Elephas maximus indicus: one gene and its partners. The protein of the gene in region 3 interacts with the protein of the main gene of each other region in a pairwise test. Links are inferred from orthologs where the notes say so. Each region holds a gene or a part of one and is shown on either strand. Other genes may lie near its edges.

The links.
Region 1: the proteins of OTX1 (region 3) and RGS17 interact in binary tests that used the Homo sapiens proteins (3 or more experiments, as listed by UniProt). The two-hybrid records come from large-scale screens. The link is inferred for Elephas maximus indicus from reciprocal best matches to the Homo sapiens genes OTX1 and RGS17.
Region 2: the proteins of OTX1 (region 3) and COMP interact in binary tests that used the Homo sapiens proteins (3 or more experiments, as listed by UniProt). The two-hybrid records come from large-scale screens. The link is inferred for Elephas maximus indicus from reciprocal best matches to the Homo sapiens genes OTX1 and COMP.
Region 4: the proteins of OTX1 (region 3) and SPRY2 interact in binary tests that used the Homo sapiens proteins (3 or more experiments, as listed by UniProt). The two-hybrid records come from large-scale screens. The link is inferred for Elephas maximus indicus from reciprocal best matches to the Homo sapiens genes OTX1 and SPRY2.

Annotation. Positions count from the first base shown.
Region 1 is NC_064819.1:224,721,729-224,728,564, forward strand, and holds the start of RGS17 (regulator of G-protein signaling 17), read right to left. Parts: upstream 3,021-6,836; 5' UTR 2,904-3,020; intron 1-2,903. UniProt on the Homo sapiens protein: Regulates G protein-coupled receptor signaling cascades, including signaling via muscarinic acetylcholine receptor CHRM2 and dopamine receptor DRD2.
Region 2 is NC_064821.1:38,665,959-38,672,992, forward strand, and holds the start of COMP (cartilage oligomeric matrix protein), read right to left. Parts: upstream 3,005-7,034; 5' UTR 2,990-3,004; coding exon 2,911-2,989; intron 2,662-2,910; coding exon 2,576-2,661; intron 2,290-2,575; coding exon 2,238-2,289; intron 1,670-2,237; coding exon 1,500-1,669; intron 827-1,499; coding exon 689-826; intron 469-688; coding exon 394-468; intron 309-393; coding exon 150-308; intron 1-149. UniProt on the Homo sapiens protein: Plays a role in the structural integrity of cartilage via its interaction with other extracellular matrix proteins such as the collagens and fibronectin.
Region 3 is NC_064835.1:73,744,864-73,752,164, forward strand, and holds the start of OTX1 (homeobox protein OTX1), read right to left. Parts: upstream 3,024-7,301; 5' UTR 2,939-3,023; intron 2,571-2,938; 5' UTR 2,502-2,570; intron 931-2,501; exon of another isoform or gene 893-930; 5' UTR 782-892; coding exon 685-781; intron 1-684. UniProt on the Homo sapiens protein: Probably plays a role in the development of the brain and the sense organs. Can bind to the BCD target sequence (BTS): 5'-TCTAATCCC-3'.
Region 4 is NC_064832.1:73,732,614-73,739,671, reverse strand, and holds the start of SPRY2 (protein sprouty homolog 2), read left to right. Parts: upstream 1-4,044; 5' UTR 4,045-4,712; intron 4,713-7,058.

The DNA of each region.
Region 1 (6,836 bases), on a different chromosome or scaffold from region 3:
TCCCATTCCTCTTAAGCTCCATGCCTCATCACCTATGCCCACCTTCCATTTTTCCAGAAAAGCCTATGTGCTTCAGTTAATGGACTTCCAGTCTGAAAGCCATTATCTCTACAGTTGTGGATTGACAGGTAGATGCTTTCTTACTCTTTAGCCTATGAGTCAGCCAGAATTTTATCAATTTAGCTTTAGATCTTTTTTTATTAGATTGTTATCATGAGGCCAAATGGCTAAGAATATTTATTTATCCCTTTCTTCAAAGCCCCTAGTCGTAGTGGTAGGAAATATCAAGGAAGACTATTATTTCATTATTATGATGATAATGCAAAAGTATAAGAAGTCCACAGGAGTAATAATGGACTTAGACCTTCAACATTATGAGTTCAAGCAAATTAATATCCAGCAAGAATATTCTTAAACCTAATGAGATACCTATTTGAGAAGGAAAAGCTAGGTGACTTAGAACTAAGCAGGACCTGCAAATTAACTCTGTTAATTCCCTTACCTGGGGACTGAACACCAAACAGTAGTTGAGGAACCAGAACAAAAATGGTTGAAATTGGCACAACGACACTTTGTTGTTCTGTAAACTGGGTGGTTTTCTTAATCTTTCCGACTACAGTTTCAGGGGAAGGATGAGTGCCCAGGGTTCTGGGACCATGTGTCATTGCTATGGAGATTTATCTTATTTAAGAAATTATATCACCCAGTCTTTTTGTAATGATAAACACTTGTTTCCTCATTTCCGAAAACTGGGAATTAACTGCTTTTTCATAGCTGCCTTATATATACTTTTCAAGATGACAAAAAGAGTGAATAAATCTACTCTTCCTTGAGTGTGCTAATTATTATTTTTTCTTTAGTTCATGCTAACGGAAAAAATAACTCAATAACAGTAACTTAACTGGAGAAGGTTGAACTTCTCAATCATTGGAATTAATGACTACAAATCACTTTTTCATTAGGTATTAGTGCCATAATGGGCATCTACTACTATTCCTATAGAAGACTTTAGAAACAAATACAAATTACTTCAAGTGTTTCCCAGTTTTCAAAATTACTTGATACACCTAAGTATCTAACCAAAAACCCATTGCCATTGAGGCAATTCCGACCCATATCGACCCTGTATTACTTCAAGTGTTTCCCAGTTTTCAAAATTACTTGATACACCTAAGTATCTAACCAAAAACCCATTGCTATCGAGGCAATTCCGACCCATATCGACCCTGTAGGACGGAGTAGAACTGCACCATAGAGTCTGCAATGAGCGCCTGGTGGACTCAAACTGCCAACCTTTTGGTTAGCAGCTGCACGATTTAATCACTACGCCACCAGGGTTTCCACCTAAGTATCTAGCAGCTATGAATCCAGGAGAAAATTATTTTCAATTCCAAGAGTAAAAATGATTTATCTTAAATTAAATGATTTTCAGAGCGGCGTATCACGCCGAAAACCAGTGCGTATAACACCGGAAATGGAGATGTCATCGACTCAGAAACGCTTATTCTAGATGGAAACCGAACTATACGCTTTTTCTTTATTATTTGTAATCTAAAAAAAATTTTTTTAATTGCTATTCCAGGATGGAAAGAATCTTAATGTAAAAAAAAAAAAAAAAAAAAAAACTATGGGAAGCTTGCAAAGTTCTCTAGACAAACCTTCCAGCGACGCTTTTACAGAAGGAAGCATTTAGCGAAGGGTCAGGGAGGTTAGGGAAACTATGCCTGGAGCCAGAGTCCGTCTTCCCGGAGCGACTAGACAAAACCAGGTGAGCCGGTGTCCCGGGCTCCGGATGGCGGCGAAGGGCGGGTCCCCGAGCTGCGGGCATCTTTCTGGCCAGGCGACCCCTGCCCCATCTCCGGGAGCCCAGGGACTCCCAAGGCGGGAGCGGGCTACCCGGGCGCGCTGCCTGTCACCTCCCGCTCGCTGGGAGCATCTCCCGATCCGTGGCTTGCGTGGCCAGCTCGTTCCCTCCGCCATCCTCAAGTCCTCCGACATTTTTCAGGGAGATCGGGAGGTAGAGAGAAGAGGAGCAATATCTGCACCCCGCCTCTGCCGCAGCCCAGGAAAAGGCAAAGGAGGAGAAGGCTGGCGAGGAGGCAGCTATTAAACCGATTCCATCAATAAGAAGAAGAATCCCCATCACCCACAGTGAGGGTGCTTCCGATACACCCACCCCGGCAGCGGTTCGAGGGCTGGTGGGCGTTCCTCCTCCTCCTCGCCCCCTCGCTGGCTGTGCAATCGACCCCATGAACCCACACCAGAACTCCCTTTCCTGTGACTACGAGGAGGGGAAGGAACAAAAGAGACCCCGAGCCTCGATACACACACACACACACACACTTGATCGCTGCTAAAGGTACTCATTTTTGCAAACCCTTCCCCGGCTTACACCTTCCTCACCTGAATAGTGCATTTTCCCAAAGGCAAAGAAAGGTAAGGGAGAGAAGGTATTACCCGAAGGAGATGGGTCGCTAAAAACCTGAATTCCACAGTCGGCTTCCGAACCAAACGATCACAAACGCCCCCTCCCCCGCAGGACCCGGCGCCCCCAGGCCCGCCCCCGCCCAGCGCTCCCCGCCTTGGCCCCGGGCGCCGCTCTTCGCGGGCGCCGGGGACCCCCCAGGGCGCCCTCCCTCCGCCGCCGGACATCGGTCACCCCCGGCCGCAGCTGCAGGGCGGCGAGCGGAGCGGCTGGGCAGCCCCGCGGCTCCAACTTCCCCGAGCAGCTCCCCGCGGGGACTCCGGCCCGCAGGCGCCCCGCGGGCAGGGCAGCGCTCTCCGCCCCCTCTGTCCTCTGTCCTCCATCCTCCTCCCCGCGGGCACACACGCACCCCTCAGCCTAAGCAGACATTTTGCTGTCACACAGTTAGCACGGCTCAGCCTGCACGGCCACCTCTTACCCAGTGCCTGGAGGGTGGGCAGCGCACCGAGCGGTCCGGGGGCGCGGGCGGGCGGCTCGGTCCTCTAGCGGCGCTGGTGCGCTGCCATCCGCCCAACTTCAGCACCCAGCCGGCGACGAGAGGCAGCCAGGCGAGGATGGAGGCGGGGGCGGGGAGAGGAGGAGGGTGGGCGGGCGGGAGGGAGCGGGCGCCGCTCGGCAGCGCGCATGCGTCCCGCCGCGGGCGCAGCCTCCCGCCCGGCGCCGCTGGAGGGGCCGCTGCCGCCCCGGCGCTGCCTGAGTCACGGCCCCGCCCTCCCGCCCGCGGCCCGGCCCCGCGCCCGCATGGCCGCGCCCACTGTGCGGAGGGCTCGGCGGGGCTCCGGGCAGGGCGCGCGGTCTGCGGGGCGCGGGGGCACCGGGACCTGGTGCGGGGGCTCCTGCACCTTCGCGTTCACCCGCAGCCCACGTTCTTTTATGCTGGGCTGTAGGAGAACGCTGAAAAGGAGCGAACCGGGCGCAGCACCGGGCTCCGCGTGGAAGCTTTCCCCGTGTGGAGTTCTAGAACGTGCAAAGTGAAGCAAGTTTTGCTTTATCGAGGGTCCTTTACTTTATTGGCTTCGTCATCCAGAAATAGGACCCTTGTCCCCAAGAATTATTTCAGAGCGCTCGGGTGACTCTGGTCTGGGGCATATTTGCTGGCTCAGGCGTCTGCACCACGGCAGCGAGAGATTTGAGTGGGCGAAACCGTGGGTAAATGATTAACAGAAGTGCGGATACTTGGGGCCTTGGGCATCCTTTGGGAACAGCTTGGTAGCTATCAGATCTGATAATTGTTCTAGTCACAAGCGGGGCCCAGCATGGTAGCAAAGGAGCGTTCAGACACTTTAATGCATCATGAGCGCTAGATTAGATGATTAGATTGAAGTGTTCGGAAGGAAGAATTAGGAAACGGGTGTCTTTCTCATCCGATATGATCTCTGTGGGAAGAGGAGTGAGTTCCTGGCAGGAATGATTAGGCTTTTTTCTCATCCCTTTTTAAAGCAGATTACTTGTAAGTATACATGATTTCCGTTGCTTGCATGCTCATATAGTCAGACATTTTTATCATTATGTCAGGCTCCTTTGCTAACCAACCTTCCCTCTCTCACCTTCTACTTGACTCATTTCTTCTCTAGCAACATCCTTGACTTTTGAATACTAGTGCTTTTTACAGTATATTCCCCTGACTGGTGCTGGTCTGCAAATGTTCACCGTTGTTATTGTGAGGCGCCATCAACATCAAGTCAGTTCTGACTCATAGCAACCCTATCAACAAAAGAAGGAAACACTGCCCGGACCTGCTCCATCCTCACAAGAGGTTGCCATGTTGAGCCCATCGTTGCAGCTACTGTGTCAATCCATCTCATCGAGGGTCTTCCTCTTTTTTGCTGACCATCTACTTTACCAAGCATGATGTCTTTCTCCAGGGACTGATCTCTCCTAATAACATGTCCAGAGTACCTGAGACAAGGTCTGGCCATCCTCACTTCTAAGGAGCATTCTGGCTGTAGTTCTTTGAAGACAGATTTGTTCATTCTTCTGGCAGTCCATGATATATTCAATATTCTTCGCCAGCACCATAATTCAAGAATATCCATTCTTTTTTAGTCTTCCTTACCCGTGTCCGGCTTTCAAATACATATGAGAAAATTGAAAATACCATGGCTTGGGACAGGTGCACTTTAGTCATTGACGTGATATCTTTGCTTTTTAACACATTAAAGAGATCTTTTGCAGCAGATATTCCTAATGCAACACGTCATTTGATTTTTTGGCTGCTGCTTCCATGGTCATTGATTGTGAATCCAAGTAAAATGAAATCCTTGAAAATTTCAATCATCTCTCTGTTTATAGTGATGTTGTTTACTGGTACAGTTGTAAGGATTTTTGTTTTCATTACACTGAGTTGTAATCCATACTGAAGGCCGTAATCTTTGATCTTCATCAGTGTTTCAAATCCTCTTCGCTTTCAGCAAGCAAGGTTGCATCATCTGCATATCACAGGTTGTTAACGAGTCTTCCTTCAATCTTGATGCCCCGTTCTTCTTCATATAGTCCACTTTCTCTGATTATTTGCTCAGCATATAGATTGAATAAGTATGGTGAAAGGATACAAACCTGACGTACACCTTTATTGATTTTAAACCACACGGTATCGCCTTGTTCTATTCCAACAAGTGGCTCTTGGTCTATGCATGTTATCCATATTTGTTATGATGCCTTTTGCATAGTCAATAAAACACAGGTAAACATCTTTCTGGTTTTCTCTGCTTTCAGCCAAGATCCATCTGACATCAGCAACAATATCCCTTGTTCCACATCCCCTTCTGAATCCGGCTTGAATTTCTGGCAGTTCCTGTCAATGTACTGCTGAAACCGTTTTTGAATTATCTTCAGCAAAATTTTCATTACATGTGATAGTAATTATATTATTCTGTCATTTCCACATTCTGTTGGATCACCTTTCTTTGGAATAGGCATGAATATGGATTTCTTCCAGTAGGTTGGCCAGGTAGCTGTCTTCCAAATTTCTTGGCATAGGGGAACAAGAACCTCCAGCACCGTGTCTCTTTATTGAAACATCTCAAGTAGTATTCTGTCAGTTCCTGGAGTCTTGCTTTTTGCCAGTGTCTTCAGTGCAGCTTGGACTTCTTCCTGCAATACTATCGGTTCTTGATCATATGCTACCTCCTGAAATGGTTGAATGTCAACCAATTCTTTTTGGTACAGTGACTCTCTGTATTCTTCCATCTTCTTTTGATGCTTTCTGCTTCATTTAATATTTTCCCCATTGAATCCTTCAAAATTGCAACTCAAGGCTTGAATAGTTTTTTTTTTATTATTAATGTTGTATTTTAGATGAAGGTTTACAGAACTAGCTTCTCATTAAACAATTAGTACACATAGTGTTTTGTGACATTCGTTACCAGCCCCACAACATTCTTTCTCGACCTGTGTTCCCTGTTACCAGATTTTCTGTCCCCTCCTGCCTTCTAATCCTTGCCCCTGGGCTGGTTTGCCCCTTTAGTCTCGTTTTGTTTTCTGGGCCTGTCTAATCTTTGACTGAAGGGTGAATCTGAGGAGTGACTTCATCACTAGCTAAAAGGTTGTCCGGGGACCATACTCTCAGGGTTTCTCCAGTCTCTGTCAGGCCAGTAAGTCTGGTTGTTTTTTTGTGAGTTAGAATATTGTTCTACATTTTTCTGCAGCTCTCTCTGGGACCCTATATTGTGATTCCTGTCAGAGCAGTCAGTGGTGGTAGCTGGGCACTATCTAGTGCTGAACTCACTCTGCTGGAGGCTGTGGTAGTTGTGATCCTTTAGTCTTTTGGACTAATCTTTCCCATGTGTCTTTCATTTTATTCATTCTCCATTGTTTTCAACAGGATGAGACCAGTGGAGTATTTTAGATGGCCGCCTACAAGCTTTTAAGACCCCAGATGCTATGTGCCTATGGAGGTTCCATGACTTTGCCTTGTAAAAGTTGTGCTGGCTTCCCCAGTATTGTGTAAAAAAAAAAAAAAAGTACTGCCTTAAAAAAAAAAAGGCAAAAAAAAAAAAAAAACCATTGCCGTTGAGTTGATTCCAACCCATAGAGACTCTATAGGACAGAGTAGAATTGCCCCATACGGTTTCCAAGGGGCACCTGGTGGATTGGAACTGCCAACTTTTGATTAGCAGCCATAGCTCTTAACCACTACACCACCAGTGTTTCCATGTGTACTGCCTTACTCTTCACCAAAGTAACCACTAATCTATTGTCTAGTGGTTTTCCGTCCCCACCGCTCTTCTCCCTCATAACCATTAAAGATTGTTTCTTTTTGTGTGTAAACTTTTCATGAGTTTTTATAGTAGTGGTCTCATACAATATTTGTCCTTTTGTAATTGAAGTATTTCAGTCAGGATAATGCCCT
Region 2 (7,034 bases), on a different chromosome or scaffold from region 3:
AGATGAACGGGTGCGCGTCCCCTCAGGGCTGCCCCCGCCCCCTTCGACACGCCCTCCCACGCCCGCTTAGGCCGCCCCCCAGCTCCGGGCCGCCCCTGGCCCCCGCCCCGCCCACACCCCTGCCGCCCCGCCCCCCCGTCCGCACTCACTACGCACGACCGAGAGCCGTCGCGCTCCAGGACGCAGTCGGCCTTCTCGTGGCATGGACTGGGCGTGCCGTCCGGGCAGAAGCGCTGCGGACGCCGCTGACAGCCGGACTCCTGGTCACCCACGAAGCCGGGCTGGCACGGCCCGCACTGGAAGGAGCCCTGCGCGAGGCCGCAAGCGGTCAGCGCGGGCCACAGGCTCTCCCACCCCGTCCCTATCCCCGTTCCCCAGCCACACCGGACTCACTCGCGTGTTGACGCACACAGAGTTGGGGACGCAGTTATGCTGTCCAGTCTCACACTCGTTAATGTCCGTGCACACCTGGGAGGGGAGACGCAGAGGTCACCGCCCACTCAGACACCCCACCCTCCCACCACTCCGCTCCTCCTAATTCCTCTCCGCCCCCCAGACCTTAGTCTCCTCCTCCTCCCTGTAGCTTTGGGGCTGGGAAGAGGTACTGGGGCTGATGGACTTGTTTACTGAACGAAAAGGGCCCCCTTCCTCCTGCATAAGTTGGGACTGGCGCCCCCGCGCCCCTCACCTGCTTGTTGGCTTTCGCGAAGGCCAGCCCCACGCCCTCGTGTGCGGCGCCGCTGTACCCGGGCGGGCAGGCCTCACAGCGGAAGCCGGGGCTGGTGTTGATGCAGCGGACGCGGGGGAAACAGGGGTGGGCGTTACACTGCGGACGGAGGGGTTGCAGGGGGTCAGAGCGCGGCGCCTCGGAACTTCCCAGGCGTGAACTCAGACATCTCAAAGGTCTTCAGTCTGGACTTGCAGGGGTCCATGGGATGGGCAGGGGCGCCATGGAGGCGGGGGTGGCGGAGGCAGTTTTCCCAGGGATCAGACCTGCCTTTGCTTAGTTGGGGAGGGCACTCCTGGAGGGGGGCTGCTCCCAGACCTGGTGGGCAGGGTGCTCATGGGCGGGGGAAGGGACTTCGGTGGCGGGCGTCCCCAGCGGCGGGAGGGAGTGGTCGTTGGAGACGCCGAATCCGTTGGTTGGGGGTTGGTCGGGACCGAAAACCGCCGGAGGTGGGAGGGTTGTCGGGGCGTGAGCCCCTGGGCAGTGAGGGAGATCGTGGGGGCGGAATCACCCCGGCGGTAGGGGGGGCGTCGTCAGGGCCCGCACCCTCAAGAGGTGAAGGGGGTTGTCTAGGCGGAATCACCCCAGCGGCAGGGGTGTCGTCGTCGAGGGGGACACCCCCAGGAGGTGAAGGGGTTCGTTGGGGTTCCGCCCCAGCGGTAGGGGGGTCGTCAGAGCGGGGATCCTCGGCAGTGGAGGGGGTCGTGGAAGTGGGGGCCGCCAGCGGTGGAGGGGGCGTCCGGGCGAGGGGGGGTGTCGGGGACGGGCGCACCTCGTTGACGTCTGCGCAGTGCGAGCCGTTGCCGGTGAAGCCCTCAGGGCAGGGGCCACATCGCGCGCCGCTCGACGTCTCCGTGCAGACCACGCCCGGGAAGCAGAAGCCAGGTGCACATTGGGGCAGGGGCCGCATGCTTAGGCCGGGAGTGTGCGCCGACTGCATCCCTGCGTAGGGTGGGAGGGGGGCAGGACCGGACGGTCAGGACCACACCCCGGGAGTGGGCAGTGAGTCAGGACTACTCCGGGAGGGGCAGGATGGGCAAGGGGCGGGGCATGGCGATGAGGACCCCCACCCTGGGAAGGGGGAGGGGGAGTGGGGTGGAATCAGGATCCCACCCCGGGGGCGGGGCAAGTTGACAAGACCACACCCCAGGGACGGGGTGGGTGATCAGGACCTCTCCCCGGGGGCGGGGCGGGCAGGACCACCAGAGTAGGGGGTGGGTAGCCAGGACCCCACCCCAGCGGCAGGGGAGACCCCGGCTCCACTCTTGGCCTTCTGGGTGTCTCCTAGCCCCCCTCACCACATTCCCGCGCCGCTCCTTTTCCCCTACTTTGCCTCTCCCCACGGTGTGTCTCTCCACTTCCCTGCATCTCTGCGCGGTCTCTGTGTCTCCCACAGTCTGTCTCTCCCCGTCTCTGTCTTTCCCTCCTTGTCAGTCCCTCGGTCTTTCGCTCTGTCTCCTTTTCTGTCTCTCTCCCCCCTTCTCTCTCCTGCCCGCCCCGCGGCGCTCACCGCACGCGTCACACTCCATCACCGTGTTTTTCAGGAACGTGATCTCCTTGACCTGCGGGGACGGGGGCTATCAGCGGGGGCTCCTTCCCATCCCTCGGGGCCCCTTCCGGGCTCCCCCAGTTCCTCCCCTTGGACCTCCTTTCCACAGACCGCCTTGCTTCTCCCCCCCCCCCCACCATGTTCTCTCACTTCCCGGGACTCCCTCCGCTTCCCCTGGTCCCCTCACCCCCTTTCTCTAACCCCCTTGCCTCACCCCGTTTACACACCTCCCTCCCCTAGACTCCTCTCCCTTCCCCCCCAACCCTGGCTGCGACCCGGGCCCCGACCCCCACCCGCACCTGCTGCCGCAGCAGTTCCCGCACGTCCTGCAGAGCCGCGTTGGTCTCCTGGAGCTCCCGTAGCATCTGCGGGGCCAGGTCTGCGTCTGCGACGTCAGGGGGCGCTGGTGGGGCGTCGGGGTGCGGAGACTCCCGCCGCCTTCACCACCGCCCCGGGGACCTGTGATTCTCACTCTGCTCCTCTGGTTCGCCACAGAACTCAGGGCTCCCGCCCCCCGACACCTGCTTTCTCTGCCCTTGAGCGCCCCAGCGAACAGCCCGCAAGCCCCCAGGAAATCCGCCCTTCGGTCTCCCGCAGGCCTGCCCCCCGTCCCCTCGGGGCGAGCGCGGCTTACCCAGCTGGACCTGGCCCTGGCCTGACGCGACGAGGGTGCCCAGGGCGAGCAAGAAAACGCAGGCGGTGGCATGGGCCATAGCGGAGCTCTGGGTCGGTGGCGCAGCTCTGCCACCCACGAGGCCGCAGGGCTTATTTATCCAGCGGCGCCCGGGGACGGCCCACCGGCGGCCCAGCCCAGCCCAAGGTAAACAGACGGGCGGGGTGCCGCTGGCCTCTGCGTTCAACGTCCAGCCCGCCTGCCAGGCGGCGAACCAGGCTCAGGGCTGAACCGGGAAACTGACTCAGGGGGCCTGTGAGGGGGGGCGGTGAATGGGGAAGTCAGGCGGGACCACCCCTCCAGTCCTCCCGCTCATTTATTGAGCGTTTGCTGTGTGCCAAGCCTGGGGCACAGCTGGAAGCCAGGCTGTCCCCATGGTGGCTCCCACAGCTCACACCTGGGGAAACAGAGTCACAGTGACTGGATACAGGCTTTGGGGTCAGACTTTATAGGATCAGGCAGACCCACCCTCTGCACCCTCCTGACTTGCTTCTAAACCAGGCAAGTGGGCCAATGACTTGGCTCAGTGCCTCAGTTTCCCACCATGTGCAATGGGGCAGTAAATATTGTTGGTAATGATGTTAATGATTAGAGGGAAATGATGAGGGCAGAGGTGTGAGAACAGGGACTCTCAGTGTTCCTCTACAGGTCCTGGTTCCCTTGGCGATGGCAGCTGAGACCCCTGCCCACTCTGCTACACTTTTCCCTCCTTGAAGTTCTCCAGATGGGATGGAGAGAGGAGTCTGGTGGCCCATGCACCCGAAGCCCACCCTTATCTGTGCCTCAGTTTCCTGATCTGTGCAATGGGATGTTAGTGCCCCGCTGGGGGTGAGCCCCCCTCCAGAGGGGATGGAATTAAGGGCTCCAGTGGAGGAGCTCCAAGAGGGGGCCCAGGGCTCATGTTTGTTGAGGCTGCACCATACCTTCGGAGCTGAGCTCCAGCTGCTGTGGGAACAGCCTGTAGTACAAATAAAAATTGCTGTTAATCAGGAAAATAGTCCCTTCCAGACCAGCAGCGCTTTGGAGCTCCTACAAAACACCTGGGATTCCTTCCATGAGTCGGTTAACCCTCACTGACCCAGCCCTCCAGCACTCACTGCTTCTGTTCTATAGACAGGGAAACTGAGGCCCAGTGAGAGGAAGAACCTGACTTATGACCACTTTGCAGGACAAGGGTAAAGCTAGAGTCATAGCCAGATCTATTCTTCAGAGGTTGCAGAGAAGTCCCTGAGGGCTTCCTGGAGGCAGTGACAGTGGAAACATGAAAGGGAAGACTCAGGTCAGTAGAGGGAAAAGGGCAGAGGGAAGCTCTTGGGTAAAGGCTTGGAGGTGGGGACATTTTGGGCGCATTCATTGTTTTTTACAGGTGTGTCTTGAGCACATACTATGTGTAATGACCCACCATTACAATTAGTGTAATATAGTTATAAATCTTGACCCCCTTCACCAGAGCATTTAACTCCATCTCATGATGGGCACTGGGGACACAACATGAACAAGCCAGACCCGCTGCCCTTCCCTGATGAGACGCCCAGTCTGATGATGAGGCAGCTACGTAATCAGACAGCGACAACACAGAGATATCAGAGCTTTGATGGAGGATGCACAGTCAGCTGTGGGAGCTCTGAGGAGGTGCTTGACCCAGACTGGAGGTGGGGAGCAGTGAGGGTAGGCTTCCCAGAGAAGGAGGGGACACTAACACTGAGACCTGGAAGATGAGAAGGACATACTGAGCAGAGAGATGGCGGAAAGATGTTCCAGGTCGAGGGGAACAGCAGAAGCAAAAGCCCTGAGGTAGGAATGAGCCGAAATATGTCAGCAGCTCATTGCAGTGCTATTCACAATAGCCAAAAGGTGGACACAACCCAAGTATCCGTCAACACATGAATCGAGAAGCACAATGTGGTCCATTCGTGGAATGTCACTCAGCCGTAAAGATAAATGAAGTCCTGATACATTCTATAATAGCGATGAATCTCAAAAATGTTATACTCAGGAAAGTAAGACACAAACACAAAAGGACAGATATTGTATGATCCCGCTTATGTAATATATCTAGAATAGGCCAGTGCATAGGCAAAGTTTATTAGTGATTACCAGGGGCTAGGGGAAGGGAAAATGGAAGGTTATTACTTAAGTTTCTATTTCACGCAAACCAAACCCACTGTCATCGAGTCGATTTCGACTCGTAGCGACCCTATAGGACAGAGTAAAACTGCCCCTATGGTTTCCAAGGCTATAAATCTTTACAGGTGCAGCCTGTGGCTGATGGATTCAAACTGCCAACCTTTCTGGTTAGCAACCAAGCGCTTTAACCACCGCACCACCATTTGAAAATGGATAGTGGTGAATGTAATTAATGTCACCAAATTATACATTTAAAAATGGTGAAAGAGCCTAGGAAGACAGGCCTGGCGATCTAGTTCTGAGAGGTCACAGCCTTGAAAGTTCTATGGAGCAGTTCTACTCGGCGCACATGAAGTCATCATGAGTCAGAATTGACTCAGTGGCAACTAGCAACAACAACAAAAAAGGTATATAAAAATGGTTAAAATGGCCAAAATTTTGTTACATGTATTTACTAGAATTAAAAAAAAGAAAAAAAGGGATGTTGGGGTGGTGAGAGCTTGAGGTTCAAGGATAATCAGGAAATGGATTATGGAAGGGCAGTGCCAGTGGTATGGGGCTCAGGTATCTTCTGAGGGCAATGGGGAGCCACAGACGATGAGTGAGCAGGGACAAGCCTTCAGGAGAGGCCAGGTGGCTGTAGCCAGCCCTGGCCCGGGCACTTCCTGCAAAGCCCGTGCCCCGACAGTGCCTGCCCTGCCTGCTGCCTGTGGCCGGGCCATGAGCTCACCTCCTGTTTTCCTTGGCATCTGGCTCACCTGAGGGCCGCTCCCGGCTGGTGCTGGAATTCTCGGGAAAACCACAGCTCGGGGCAGGGCTGGTGTGTAGCTCGTGTATCTGGGACAAGGGCATATGGAAGCCAGGCCCTTGCCACAGGCCCAGCACAGGGCTGGGGCTTTGACACACGTGGCCCCATCTGTGGCTGGGCCATGGGGAGATGCAGGGAAGGGCATTCCAGGCAGAGGAAACAGCAAAGGCGGAGGCCCTGAGGATGCCCCAGTGTGCACATTAGACAAGGGAGGCCCAGAGAAGGGCAGCTCTGGTTTCACACTCCTGCTCCCTGAAACCCACCAGTCATCATCCTGAAACCCCCCTTCCAGGAACCAGGCCCCTTCTTCCTGCACACATCACGCCAGCCTCACATTAGAGAATAGCTCCTGCTGGGTGCCTTTCTGTGCCTGTGTACACGCTGTTCCTGATACCTAGAATACCCTCCTTCAACCTTCAAGGCCCCACTCCAATGCCCCCTCCACCAGGGAGCCCTCCCTGACCCCCCTGGGCAGGGCTGAGGGACTGATGCCCTTGTGACTGGTCCCCTGGGATCCCTGGAGACCCCCAACTGAGTGTTCCTGGTAGAGGAGGTTGGGATGGGGTGACCCTCCAGTTCAGCCGTGTGTGCCCTGTCGTTACCAGCTTGGGAGCCCCTGGGAAGGTGGGAGGGCTTGGTGAGCCGTGGCCTACAGTTAGTTAGGGTAACATCATTATCATTCCTTACACTTAATGTAACACTGCTACTGTTAATAAGACCAGCATCAGCCACCACTGTACTTTATACAGCATTCAAGGCCTGGCCTGGACCACACAACCTAGGCTTGAATCTAGCCAGGCATAGCCTTGCTGTGTGACCTAGGGCGAGTTGCTTGACCTCTCTGTGTCTGCTTGCCTATCAAATGGGAGTGAGAATTTCAGAGAAGATTGAGTTAACATGTGCGAAGTACTTGGCCCACTGTCAGCCTCATCAAAGAATATGTAGCTTATACAACACCTTAGGAGTCCCTGGGTGGCACAAATGGTTATGTACTTGATGACTAGTCCAAAGGTTGGCAGTTTGAACCCACCCAGAGGTGCCTCTGAGGACAGGCCTGGCAATCTGCTTCTAAAAGGTCACAGCCTTGAAAACCCTATGGAACAGTTTTACTCTGCATACATGGGGCCACCATGAGTCAGAATCACTTTAC
Region 3 (7,301 bases):
CTCCCTGTCTCCCAAAAGTTAAAAAAGGGAGAGAAGTCAGGTAATCTCCCTTCCTCCACATCCCCTCCACTCGACACACACGCTGGCTGGGGGTGGGAGAAGGGTGTATAGAAACACGATCTGAAAACACTCAGAGAATAAATGGGGGTGCAGTAGTGGAAACTGGAAAAGAAACCCAGGGTTCGGCTCAAGCCGTCAGCTTCAGCAGTGGAAGAGTTGGTACAAGCCACAGGTCCAGGGGAGGGCCACCCTTCCTCAACTCAGCCTGCATGTTCACATAAGGGAAGTTAGGCCTTAGGGCCAAGCTCTTTCCGTTAGAGCTCACTGGGACTTCAGATTTCTCATTCGTTGCTGGGGGAAAAAAGTGATTAGATCCACAAAAGTAATAGCCACCCGTGGGAAACGAATCCGTGGGTAAATGCACTGTGTGGGCGATGGGAGCACAACAGTAGACAGGTTGCCCCCACGGTTGGGCTGGAAGGGCGATTGCTGCACCTTTTCACTGCCCTGGTCCATCTCACCCACCCCTGACTCTGTTGTCTGCGCCTGCAGCCAGCTTTGCATTGAAAGCAGACTAGGCAATCGGTTACCTGGGCCTACTCGGCAACAGGCTGCCTCAGACCCGAGAGACTGAGGATCCCTAACGTTTGCAAGGGCGGAGGGGCTGGGAGGGCCGGTGCTCACCCGGATAGCCCACGGAGGGGTGCAGCAGGTCCATGGCCGGCCCGGCTAGGCCCAGCCCGTTCATGCCATATGGGGGTTGTTTGAGGTAAGACATCATGCTAACAGCCGGGTGGAGGCGCCCCGACGGATCCAGGGGGCCGGGGGCCTGGCGCGGTGCGGGCTTCCCACCGCGCAATCCTTTGAGCTCTGTTGCGTCTGGGGGCCCGGCCTAGGAGACATGACACACATGGTAACCGTCAATCCAAGCCACCCTGGCTCCCAGGTACTGTCCGAGGTCAGAAACCTCGGGATGGGGAGGGTGCACAGGCTCCGGGACTGCACAGCGCCGCGGTCAACTCAGCTCCATAAGGCCTAAATCCAGAGACCACAGCTTTTTTTGAAAAATGAACTTTCCTGAGTCTCCATGCCTCTCTTGGGGCTTAGAATAGGCGAAAGACACTCGTAGGGCGGAGCTGGGAGTGAGGAGAGGTTAAAAGCCTGGCCGGGCTGGGGAGGTCTAAGCCCTCAACAAGGGGGAAGCAGGGTCCTAAGCCTGAGCAAAATTTTGAGTCCGGCGGGAGCCGGCCTCATGCTGAACAACCAAACGTTCATTCAGCCCCTGGCCGCAGGCTGCCCAGAACATGAAGGGTTATTCTGTTTTGTTTCTAATGTCTTGAAAGCGGGAAGAAAAGGTAGACACTCCCGAGGGCCGAGGTGAAGCACTGCGGAGGGCCGGCGCCCCTGGCCTCTTCTGGACGCGGAGCCCACTTGGGAGGCTTCGTTTCTTTAAAGGTTTCCGCAGCTGGGGCCCGGCCCCACCGTCCGCAGCCACCCCTCCAGATGACCTTTGTGCCTAGTCCCTGAAAGATCTCTCACCCAGAATCCCACCACACCTCAAGCGCAGTTACTGGCCCAGATCTCCCAGACACAACCAAAAGACGCAAAAGGGGCCACCGTAGAGGTGGTGGTTGCAAGACGCGGCCTGAGGTGGCGGGTGCCTCTGCCGGAGCCTCGGGCCCTTCTTCCGAGGTGCGGGCCGGGCCTTCTTTCTGCTGGGTCCTGTTGCTGACAACGGGGCCCGGGATGAGGCTGAAGCGTGACCGGCTCGGCGCTCCAAAAGACCTCGGGGATTTGGGAGGCCTGGATGTAGCCGATCCCCTGAGCTCCCCTGCCTATCCTGCTCCCTGGACCCCGCGGCCCCGGGACCTGACCGAAACTAAAAAACTAGGCCTCAGAGGCATAACCCGCGAGCCCCTAACTGGAAGGTTGAAGCCTCGTTTCCGCAGCTTCCCAAACCCGAGGCTCTAGTGTCAGGGGTCAGGAAGGGGCGCTAGGAGTGGGGCTGGAGCCCAGGGGCCCTGTCGCTTCATCCCGCTTCGCAGGAACTCTCTAAAGCGGGCCTTGGAAGCTGGGCTAGGAAGTTCAGGGACAGAAGTTAGAGCTAAAGAAGCCCTTGCCCCGGTCCTCCGGGACTTGCGGCCTGGGTTTACAGGGAAGGAGAGGAGGAGAAACAGCCTGGGTTCTTGGGCCCAGGGAGAACGGGACTCCAGCCACCGCGGCTCTGTTAGGCTGCTGCAGTGTATTCAAAGACTTTCTCCAAACTTAGCACTTCAGCTCGCTCACTTCGGAGGAGGCGGGGGAGACTGGGCGGGCGGGAGCGCCGGACTGTAGTCGCGCTCTGGGGTCCTCCACGCACCAAGAGGGGCGCCAGGCCGATTCCCCCCAGCCCCGCCCCCCAGCCCAGGACCTGTGGAAGCCGGAACCCAGTTGAAGAGGTGGAAGCAAGAGCAACCGACGCGCTCCCCGCGTCCCGGGAGGCCCCTGGGCTTTCTCCTTACCTGCCCTCAGTTGTCGCGGCCGCTCACCATCTACCTCGCGCCCTCAACGAGACCCTCCGGGCAGCCAACCTGCAAAACAGAGGGGCGCAGGAATTACCCGCCGGACTGGACGAGGCTGGTCTGGGACCCCCGATTTCTTTCTTTCTCCAGTTTCCCTCTTCCCATCTCTTTCTTCCCTCCCAGTGGCTTTATGTGTGTCCCTCCAAGTTTCATTTTATTGTACAGACACTTTGTTGGCAAAACCCTACACGCTCCTGGGACACTGCCTCGCCGGGGATCGAGCTGTAGGGCCGCAGGGAGGAGGTGAGGGGGTGCGAGGGACAGAGTTGGGAGGAGGCTCGCGGTTGTTGCTGCACTCCTGGTACAGGAGGGAGGCGGTAGGGGCTGGGGAATTCTTGAACAGACACTTTGTAAACTAAATAAATCAAGCGATTTACCTTGTCGCAGTGGCTTGTCTTTCTCGGTTGTTTAGGTGATTGGAAATGTAGCCAGATGAAGATTGATCACCTTTCTACTGCCCTCCCCGAGTATGTGAACGCGAGGCGAGTGCGTAACGGGGCTAGGCCGCCAATCGGGGGCCCCGCGCGGGCTGAGTGACAGGGAGCCGGGCAATGGCAGCTCGAGCCGAGGGTTACCTCCGCGCGCCCCCGCCCTCCCCCGCCCCCTGCACCCCGCTGTCCCCACCCGCCCGCCCGCCCCGCCCCGCCCCGCCCCGCCCCGGTGGCGCGCTAAGTCCGGGGCTCGACTGCCAAACGCCGCGCAAAGCCAGGCGAACGAGGAGAGCGCAACGCCGGAGCCCCGGCCGCAGAGGGGCGCGGGTCCCGAGGCCTGGCCCGGGGCCCCCGCCCCTCTCCCCCCTCTCCCGCCTTCGCGGCGCGGCCGAGGGAGTGGCGGCGAGGTGCTGGAGAACCGGTTTCTTCGCTCTCCCGCGCGCTCACCCGGCTCGGCGGCCCGGGTATGGGCGCGAGGACTCAGGGGCCGCGGACTCGAGGAGCGTGGGCCCCAGGCCCCTCTGGCGGCTGCGCGGGCCCCAGCGTCTCCTTCCCAGCGCCGTCACCTGCTTGCGGACGCCGCGGGCGGCTCGTGCCGGCTCCGGCAACTTTGCAGAGCGCGGGAGCAGCTCCCAGCGCGCAGATGCCTTCTCGGCGCCTCAAGACTTCTGCGCTGGGAAATGGCACCCGCAAGGGAGACACCGCAACCTACCTGCTTCTCGGCGTGCCCTGTTCCCCGAAGGGTGTTTTTAGATTCTAAACGCTTCTTCTGAAACGTTCCAGCCCAGCGTCCCTTCCCCCTCACACACACACGCTTCTTCTGAATCGAAAGATTTTGATAGGAAACTTTCTCTTTCCCACTCTGTCTTGCTCTTCTTTCCCATTTTCAGCTACCAGGGACAGTCTGGTCAAAACGTGGCCACAGGCCCTTGTCCTCAACTTCTTTTCCACCTGCCCCGGAAGTAGCCTCCTTGAAGCGATTTTCCCGGGTTGTTCCTACTGGCGAAGCCTATTTCCCAGTCGAACAAACTCCTACCCATCCACCTTGGTGGATTTTTCAAAGCAGAAAAAGCGTTTTCGCCCCCAGCCTTGAACAAGCCAGTTGTTTTCAATGGCACCACCTTCTGAATACTAGGCACGACTTTATTTCCTTTCGAGGAATTCCCATCCCTTCTTTCTAATCCCCCCACCCCAGCAGGCGGAGGGAAAAGTTTGAGCAGCAGTTAAGTGTGAGGGCGAGTCACGGAGCCGATAGGCGCATGGCTCGGGAGCGCCGACACGGCCGGGGCGCCGAGTCCGGCACCGTCATCAGCCCGGGGGCTGGGCGAGGAGGAGGAGGAAGGGCAGCCCACTGAGTGAAAAGAGGCCGCGGCTGCAGCTCATCAAAGTGCTTCCCCCTCCCCCCAAGCGACACTTTCCTTTGGAGTCCGAATAAAATACGGTAACAGAATATGATGGAGGGCACACTGTTTCCTTAACTGCTTCTCAAAGAACCCGGGAGATCTTCTTAGGACCTTAATAAGGCTTTGGTCGGTTCTTTTGTTGATCTCTCAAAATCAACTCCTTCTAATTGAAGTTGGAGCTGAAAGCGAGCTAATGTTCAAAGAAAGTGGCCGCCAGACCAACGAAATTACATTTTTTTTTTTTGACGATGAAGGAACATCTAATCAAAGGGGCAGGGAAGGAGGGGCGGGAGTGGGGGAGTACGAAGGAGAAAAGGAGGTTTTACAAGATCCTTCTCTGGTTCACAAAAGTCAGCGACACGGGCGCTTCTCTCCAGAACAAAGACACCGCTGCCCATTCACAAAAGGGAGAGAAAGCGAGAGAGAGGGAAAGCAGAATAAAAGAACGAGGGGAAAGGAAAAACATGATGCGGGGGGCGGGGGGAAGCTTTAAGGGGAAAAGAAACTGCGCTGAGCGCATCGTTGGCCCCCGGAGCGGACACACTCAGGCTTGCGCAGGCCCCCGCCAGGGGCAGCCCGTGCGGCCTGCAGTCAGCAGCCCCGGTATCGGAGCCCGGGAGATGGTGCTGAGAGTTAAAGAAAGAAACGAAAGACACCCCCGCCCCCAGTTCCGGGGCAAGGCGCTGGCTGGAGCTCACTAGTTTGGAGGTGGGGGAAGTGTGCAAGCGTCCAGGAGCGCGCGCCGGCGGCGTCCGCATCCGTAGCCCGGAGCAGCCACCCGGGCCTGCGCGCTGTGTGCCCGGGTTGGCCTGCCTGCGCCGGAGTGCGTGCCCTTGCCCCAGTGCCGCAATCTCTCCGTCTCCTGCTCCTCCGGGCCCTGTTTCGCCGGCAGCCGGAGCCTTGGTCCAGGACCAGCCCGGCAAAATGGGGAGGCGGTGCGCGCTGGAATGTGTCGCGCGGTCCCCAGGGCCCGCCGAGCGGGAGTCCGACGCTTTCGGCTCCAGATGCTGCCACCCGTCTCAGGAAAGTCGGGAGGTATCAAGTAGCATGGAATTCCCCCCCCCCCCATAAGAGTATTTATCTAATCCCAAATTGCAGGCGAATTTTCTTAATGCTCAGCCCATAAAACCCCGGGATTAAGAGAAGAAAAAGAGAGAGAGGAGAGGGGAGAGGGAGGAGAGCGTAAAGGGAGAGAGAGGAAAGTTTCTTGTACGCTGTGCAGAGGGCTGAGGCGGCCGTCGCTAGGCAAATGTCCAGGTGGGAGACACCGGGCCAGAATCTGCGACCGTTCCAGCAACGGCCGCACCGCGGAGACAGCGCCGGGGGAGGGGAAGCGGACCCAGCTCAAGGCCTCCGGGCCGGGGAGGAGGCGATAAAGCTGGGCCCCGGGGCCCGGATCCCGCGCCCAGGTGACCTCGAGGCCCGGCCAGGCTCTGAAGGACACTTAAAGCAAGCGGAGAGGTTTGGCTTCGGGGCCGAGGGATCCTGGCCAGGGGCGGAATTTCCGCAGCTGCCCGCGGGCTGTGCCCTAACCAGCCCACCGCCAATGCTCCTCCTCCGCTGCGACCTCCGAGCCCACTGCCTCTCTTCCTGCAGCGCGGGCTTTCGGGTTCCCAGCCCCTCGGCGTCCTGGGTCCGCGCCCGCGGCCCGGAGCCGGCGCCCGGCCGGACGCAGCCAAGTCCGGACGAGGCGCCCTAGCCCGGGGCCTGACCCCACAATCCCGGGGTCCGCGCTCTGCTGCCGCTACGGGGCGTGCAGGCGCCACTAAGCAGCCCAAATGGGAGCCCTGCGAGGCTCGGGACCGGGTCAGGAGGGGCCGGGAGCGGGTCCGCACGCCCGCCCCTACCACCCTAGCAAATACAGGGCTAGGGAAGGTTTGGCACTTGGTAGGTCGGGCGCGGCTAAGGGGGTCCGCCTCTCGGAAAGGCCCTTCAGGGGTGAATGGTGCCCGAATCCGTAGTAAACCGGGTGGGTGACGCTGGCCACCCGAGCCTCAGGCTGCTCGGGTCGGGCGATTTCTGTGTGGCATCCTTCCCTGGGGTTAGAGAGCGTTTCTGAAAGCTTCCCCCAGAGAGCTGCAGCTAGCTGTGCTCTCCTGCTGGGGGGGGGGGGGCGCAAATACACGATGTCACTTAACGCCGATAACTTTTCCATAACTTTTCCTAAAATCCTTTGCTTGAAGGAATTTTACCGCGGCAAGTTTTTGTCATTTTGAAAGACTAGCAATTGGAGACAACTGCATACTTTTCGAATACAGTTTTGTGTGTGTCTGTGAATATATATGTGTGTGTATATGTTTCTGTGTATGTATATATATGTGTGTGTGTGTATATATATATATATATATATATATATACATTTTTTTTTAAAGGCTAAATGCTAGCGGACTGTTTTCTTTAAATCTCCAGACTTGTTGAACAGCTTTCTTTGTTTGGAACCTCTCTGTAGAGGAGTGACTGGAAACTACCATAGAATCACCATTTTTTTCCCCTGTAGCCTGTACTTCTTGTTAAAAGTTCATTTTCCCTCATCTCATACACACACACACCTGCACACAATACCCCACCCCACTTCCCCTACAATCACCCTTTTCCTTTTACAGCTCCTACAGACTTGCCTATTATCAGAAGACCTAGTAACAGGAGTGCAATACTGTAACAACTGAAAGAATAACATGGAAAATTCATCAAGATGTTACCATTTTTCAGTGATGTGGAATCACATATTTCCTGCAATCTTTAATAAAAGAGATGACCCTTTTTCTGGATGATAGTTTACACTGCTTAAGAAAATATGACTAATTGCTGTTCAATTCGAATTCATATGTCAGCAGGGCCCCTTTGGGATGGTGTAAACTTACTCACCTCCAAATACAGCCTGCACTGCGTTCCAGAGATCCATTTTC
Region 4 (7,058 bases), on a different chromosome or scaffold from region 3:
TCCATCACCACCTTCTATCAGTCTGTCATACTATGGTGGCTTTCGTGTTGCTGTGATGCTGGAAGCTATGCAGCCGGTATTTCAAATACCAGCAGGATCACCCACGGTGCACAGGTTTCAGCAGGGCTTCCAGACGAAGGCAAACTAGGAGGAAAGCCCTGGCAATCTACTTCTGAAAACTCGCCAAGGAAAACTCTATGGATCAAAACAGAATACTGTTCAACATAAAACTAGAAGATAAGCCCCCTAGGTTGCAAACCAACCATGGACTTAAGCATGCCAGTGATCACGAGGAGCGTTTTGTTCTATGGTACGTGGGGTTGCCATGAGTCAAAGCTGCCCCCAAGGCAAATAGCAGTAACAACAACATCAAGTTCTAAGGCTGAAATCAGTGGCTTGAGCAATTTCAGAAGCTAGAACTAGAGATGTTGATTTGTTTAAAACTGTATTCTTCTATTGTTATTGTTGCTAGTTGCCTTCAAGTCAATTCTGACTCATAGTGCCTCCATGTTTAGGGCATAAATCAGAAGTTTAGATCAGTGGCCAAGTGCAACCTTGATAATACCTGACTTTAACTCACCCAACACACATACTAGCAAAGAATCCTGTCTACATCGGCCCCATAGACACATTCTACCCAAGACAGGAGATGGCAAAATTGACATGCATTTTCTACACTGATCTGGTTTAAAAAAAAATTTAAAAAAGAAGAAGATTATAGTCATAAAATAAAACAAAAGCAAATACAAATAAATGAGGAATTAGAGAAAATAAAATGAAGCCAAAGATGAAATCCCAAATGTAGGGTACACAGTCTTCAATGGCAAGAAGTAGGAAGGCACGTTACTTGGTGAGTCCCAATGACTCGGAGGTATTGGTGCAGCACAGGTTTCCATGGTTTCAGTAAATTTCAACATTAGGCAAATAAGAACATCTGTTCATGCATCAGGACGGCCTCTCTAGAACCTTCCACAACACACCTGAAAATGAGCTTCATTGTGAAGTTTTATCTAGTATTCCATCATGATTCTCCAATACCTCACAACGTTAATCCAAGTTATGTATTTCGGAACGCAATAAGGGAATCAATTTGGGGACACATTATCATGGTTGCACTAAACACCTCATATTGTATTCTTCTTTTGGATTATAACTCGCCAAGTGAACTTTACTACCTACCCATTGCTGTCCAGTCAATTCGAACTCATAGTGACCCTACAGAACAGAGTAGAACTGCCCCATAAGGTTTCCAAGGAGCAGCTGGTGGATTCCAGCTGCCACCTTTTGTTTAGCAGCCGAGCTCTTACCCACTACACCACCAGAACTACAAGTAACCTTTAGAGCACAAAAAATAGCTCTCCGCCCTTCACTATCTGAAAAAATAATAATTGAACTAATTAAAATAAAGACTAAGAAGTAAATGAGAAAGAATCCAACAGATTCTTGTTTTAACTCTGTGCATAAGTTACAGGCTGAATGTTTTCCCAGCCAGCAAGCCGGAGGGTGCGCAGGAAGGAGAGGGGAGCTAGTTTACATGGTATTTCTTCAAGTTCATGCAAGACAAACATGAATTACAGATTCTTCTCCACTGGCTTAATAAAAATATAAGGTGCTCTAAGGTCCCTGCGTGACCTAATGCACTCAACTACTAAACAGGATTGGCAGTTTTAATCCACTCAGAGGTATCCTGGAAGAAAGGCCTATCTGCTTCCGTAAAGATTACACCCTCAAAAACCTTAGGCAGCAGTTCTACTCTTTAACACATGGGGTCGCCATGAGTCAGAGTGACTAAAAACAGTTTTTTTTGTTTTTTGTTTTAAAGGGGCTCTTTAACTAGCCTTAAGTTCCTAACTTAAATTCCATTTTATGCTTTGATTTCTGACCACGTGTCTTCGCAAAGTTCCTGCAGCTCTGGGAGAAAGGCATAGATACAACTGTATCATAGAAACGGCCACCGTGCAGGAGTCTGAAGGGTCGAAGAAAACGCATTTCCTTCACCTGCTCTGCCCTAACCTTGTTAGCTAGACGCCAGCAGCACAGTCCCACCAGCTTTGCACAACCTGGCTGTGGCCCCAGCACCTTACCCTTAGTAAAAGCAAGGGTCCTTCCTAAGTACCTCACCTCGCGTTCAAAACGCAATCGCTCTGCGATCCGAAGAGATGGTGAGGAAAGCTACCTTCTGTGGCTTTTAAATTATAAACACCTTTTTCTTTTTTTCCATTTTGAATCAGCCGGCCTGACGCACATTTTGGAAAGCAACCCCCTTCTGCTCGCGTCGAGTGCAGTGCTTCGTGGAGAAAGCAGGCGCAGCCCTGCGCCCCCCCGGGCGCCCCCTGGTGGTCTGTCGGGCCGTAACGCAGCTGCGCCTCAGTTCACCCGGAGGCTCAGTGGACTCCCGCATTCAGCGGGTAGCGGGGGCGAGGGAGGCCCCTCCGCCGCGCGGTGGAAGCCCGGGGGACGCCGCGGTGGAAGCGGACGTAGCCTCGTCCACCTTTCTCCACTCATAAGGTTGGGAACGTGGGCCAGCGTCCGGAAATAACGCATGCTACTTCCCCTGCCACTTCTAGTTCCAAACCTGGGGCGGCGGGGGAGAGTCCTGGAGAAACAAGGCGAAAGCGGGGCTAGAGCGCAGCGAGACAGGGAACGTGCGAGGGCATCCCAGACCCAGAGCTCTGGAGAAGCCAGCGAGTGCCAGGTAGCTGCGTACGGATGTGGGCCGGAGCTGGACTGGGGGAATCCAGCGCCACATTTTTCTAGCTTCAAGAACTCCCACCCCGCATGGGGACAAATTCGCAGGTGCTGTTAGGAATGTTGACCCCTACAAGCAGGTACTTTCCTGTAAAGGAAAATATTTCTGTAAGACATTAGGTAGAATAAAGTATCATTGGTGTTTTAATTTTCTACTTGTGCTTCCACGTGAAGCACGTTTCTAAGTAAATAAACAGCAGAGACGAACATATGCATGCATCTTACATTTTTGTATTTCTATTTATTCTTAAGTGGGAAAACACAATTCACCTTCAAGACGGACAATAGGATCTTCTTGAAAAGTGTGCTAGGTAACAAGGAGACACAGAAATGAAGGATGCCTTCTGATTGAGTGAAGAAGGAAACCTGAAGTGCAAGTGGCACCCTCCCCATTTCAGAAGCCCACGATGTTGCTCTGAGTATTACTGAATTAACTACTTCCAGAAGGCTTAAATTTTAGAATTTCCTTGCACCCAACAAATCATTAAAAATGCTCTTCAATCATTAAGAACGCCTCCATCTATAGCTAACCCTCCTAAAACCAAAACCGATTAAACCTATTAAACAGAAAAACTACCAATCTAAACAATCAAAAGCAAACCCCGGCAAGAGAGTAAGGGACTTGAAGCCCGAATCTGCATTCCGTTCCTCCCGTACTCGGCTCCGAGGTGGGGGAGGCGGTTTGTGCTGGTGCCTGGTGTATAATCGGGTTAATCCGGGAGACAAAGAATAAACCAATAGCCCTCCCACCTCACTTCCCGCTCCCTTCCTTTCCCCCTCTCCTCCCCCTGCTCCCCCTCCCCGCAGGAGGGGGGACAGAAAAGGGGAGAGATGGACTTGAAGTCGGTTCCGGATAAAGTCTTAAAACCTGCATGCAACTTGTTTTTAATGCGAACATTGCAGAGCTGGGATGAGTTGTAAATGTTCACTCCCCTTTCCTAGTGGCGGGGAGAAAGTTCCATAAGTCAGACCGAGCTTATGGCTCGTCTTCATGGCCTCTGGGAAAACCTTAAGGTCAGTGTTTCCTTGAAACTAGATAAACTGACCCCGCCGTGCCCAGCCCAGCCCCGCGAGCGCCCCGCGTGACGGCGCCCCGGCTGCAAGACCGGCCAGAGGACGCGCGGGGCGGCGCGGTTGCCCTTTTGAATGCCTCCTGCGGCTCGGAGCGCTGGCGGGCGCTGGAGTGTGAGTGAATGTAGCCCCGCGGAGCCAATGAGCTGGGACCGGATGCGATATATCCTCTGGGACAACAACTGCTCTGTTCCGCCTCGGATCCACATGACGCCATTTACTGCTGCCGCGGCGGCCGCAGAGCTCCCTGCCTCCTCCGGAAAGGCGAGGGCGCAGGCCAACGGCGAGCCCCCCCCGGCCGGGCCACAGGCCCACCTCCTCCTCCTTTTCCTCCTCCTCCTCCGCACCCACCGCCCTAGGCTCGGCCTCGCCGCCGCGCCTCCGCAACGCCCAGTCTGCACCGCCGAGAGCTGCGCGCCGCAGCGCGAGCGGAGGACAGGGGCCGGCGGAGCGCGCAGCGCCCAGGCCCCCGCGCCCGTCCGGCCCGACTCGCGCCCCCGCGCCGCCACCGCTCCGACACAGCTGAGACCGCACGACTTGGCGATCTGGCTTTAGGTTCTCTGTAAGGCCGTTTTCTTGTCTCATTCGCTCGTTTGCCAGGGAAAGAGACTCGCCGTTGGCGCTTCGGCCTCCTGTTCATTGAGAAAAAGAGGAAATACTCCGCGTGCGCTTGTAGAAGGGGGGTCGACTCTATCCCCGAACACCGGAGTGTTCATCGGATAGCGACTTGGCACCCGGTTTTCTTTACGTTTCATCCGCCGATTGCTCGGAAGTTGGACTGAAACAGAGTTTGGAAAGAAGGGGAAAAAGTTTGCGTCGAGGCTGGATTTATTTGCACATCGCAGTTAGAAGAGAATCCAAGGGAGAGGAGTTGGTGCAAAGCCGCGATCACGGTGAGGCGCGTTTGGCTCTTCCCCTCCTGGCTCCGTGGCCGGCGTGTCGCGGGCAACATGGAGTAGGTGCAGCTGGACTGCGAGTGGGGTTCATTTCACCTCGGATCTCCCTTTCTGTAACCCCGCAGGTTCCCCACGGGGATCAGGGGTAGCTGCCTCGTCCCGGACTCGGTCTTGGCCCGCCTCAGCGGGGACTGCCGTGCACACCCCGCGCAGTATCCCCGCGTCCTCCCTAGCCCGGCGACCCCGCGCACCCGCGCTCGGGAGGGTGGGGGGTGGGTTGGGACGACGATCAGGTTCTCAGGAATCAACTCCTGGCCCTGCGAGGGCAGCGAATTGGACTCTGAGAGCCGGGAGAGGGAAAGCATTTTGTGTTTTCCAGGTCGTCTTTGCAGGCGCGGGGATTTGTAACCTGTTTCTCTCCTGGGCAGGCAAGTCCTAGGCGACGCTGTCCCTAGGCAGGGCTCCGACGGGCCGAGGGTGCGCGGGTGGAGAGAGGCCCCCGCCTCTGCCTGGTGTGGACGGGGGCGAGCCCTGTGCTGGTGGGAGCGTCTCCCTGCCCGGCGCCGTGTCTCTGCGGTTTGGAAGTGGCGCTTTCTCTTTTTTCCGTTCTCCGTGGTCGGCCTGGGTCATGGTTTTATTTTTGGAAGCTTGGGCTGACCCAGCACAGGAAGAAAGTCATCAAGTGGTAGCGATCATTTTCCATTATCTGAAAATGGGTGGCAAAAGAGGCTATTTTTTTCATTTCCTCTGATGGGCTGATTTTTTTTGTTGCTGTTGCTATTTTTAAATTTCGGTATCTTGTGTGTTTTTACAGAGCGGTTTCTCTGTGGGTTTGCCCCACCCTAGTACCGAAGTCCTTTCCTCCTAATCCATAGTCTGATCACACACTGTTATTAATGGGGGTTTCAAAGCACTTTGGGCTGGGGGGACTGGGAACGCACTAAGTGGCGGGGGTGGGGCGGGGAAGACTGGGAAGAAGGAGACCAAGAATCGACAGAAATCACTTTAAAAAAGACTACTTAACTTTCTTTTAACATGCTGCTCTCAACTTGCAGTCACATCTGCGCTGAATGTTTGCAGCTCAGGCATCTAAGTCCTGCCTGCGCGGCGAGTGCAGTGGCGCCTTGGAAAGCGCCCTAAACTCTTAAAACAATTTCTATCTTTAAGAAATGTGTGTGTGTGTTTAGTTTCTCTACACCGAAAGTAGATAATAGTGTGCAGATTGCATACAGTGTCCACTTAGGTCAGTGCAGCGTGGAGTCGCGCGAGGTTAAGTATGGGCGTCAGGGCTGTGTACCTTAGGCAGGGCTTTCTTCCTCGCCGCGTCGGTGCTGGAAACTTAGGTCCCGCGCTCAAGGGCCTTTTCAAAAACGCCCTACGGTGGGGTGTGTGACCCCAGCCTAGGAGTGGAGTGGCTCCCTCTTGGGGCTGGAAGGCGGCTCTCAGTTGGGGTAATGGGAGCGGCGGCGGGGGAAGCGTGCTCCTGCGTTTCGTGACACGTCCCTTTTGGAGGCGCCCGTGCCTCCCCCCACCCCCCCACCCCGCGCGCCTTTCTGTCGGCCTGGGGATCGTGCACGGTGGGAAGGGGTGGGGCTGGCCCCTGGGCAGCGTCAGTCCGCTCGGAGAAAACTCTCTCGAGGTTCCGGCTGAGTCCCACCTGCTGGGGACGGCGTCGGGGCGCAGATAGAACCGATAAATGGAATGAAAGCAGAGAGCAACGTTGTCTTGTCTTTCTGCTGGAGGTAAGGAGGAGATCTGGCTTCCAGCTCTGTCTTGTTCCCGAATTGCTAGGCGTGTGTCACCTGCCCTGTTCGCTGTGGTTCTGTTTTCTGAAAAGGAGAGGTTGGATAAGGTTCCTTTTTTTTTTTTTTTTTTAATGAAATCATGGAAAGGGGGATAATAGTTTGGAAACTTACAGAAGGATTACAGTTTAAAGGGATTACTTGTCAAAATGCTAAATTCAAGATGTGACACTTGAATTTTTAAAGCTTTTTTTTTTTCCTCTTCCAGTTGATTTATGTTCTCAACTGTAAGTTTTTTGGAAAACAAGCAAATCGGTTAAGATTTTGACATAATTCTTATATGCAGCAGGATGCAGTAACCGTTGGCCTGCAGAATCTAAGGTATTTTTCCTAGGCTATCAGGTTATGAGATCCTTGATTCTCAAGTTGTTGGAAGGTTGAGAATAAGTTCCTGTCTGGTTGCTTGTTGTGTAAGTTTGATTTAATGTGTTCCTTGCACCTAATGGTATTTGAATTGATTTGTTTTTAATCCCATATCTTTGTGCTGTTATATAGTCATACACAATGGCATGCTTGTAAAATTTATAACTATTTCTTGGAG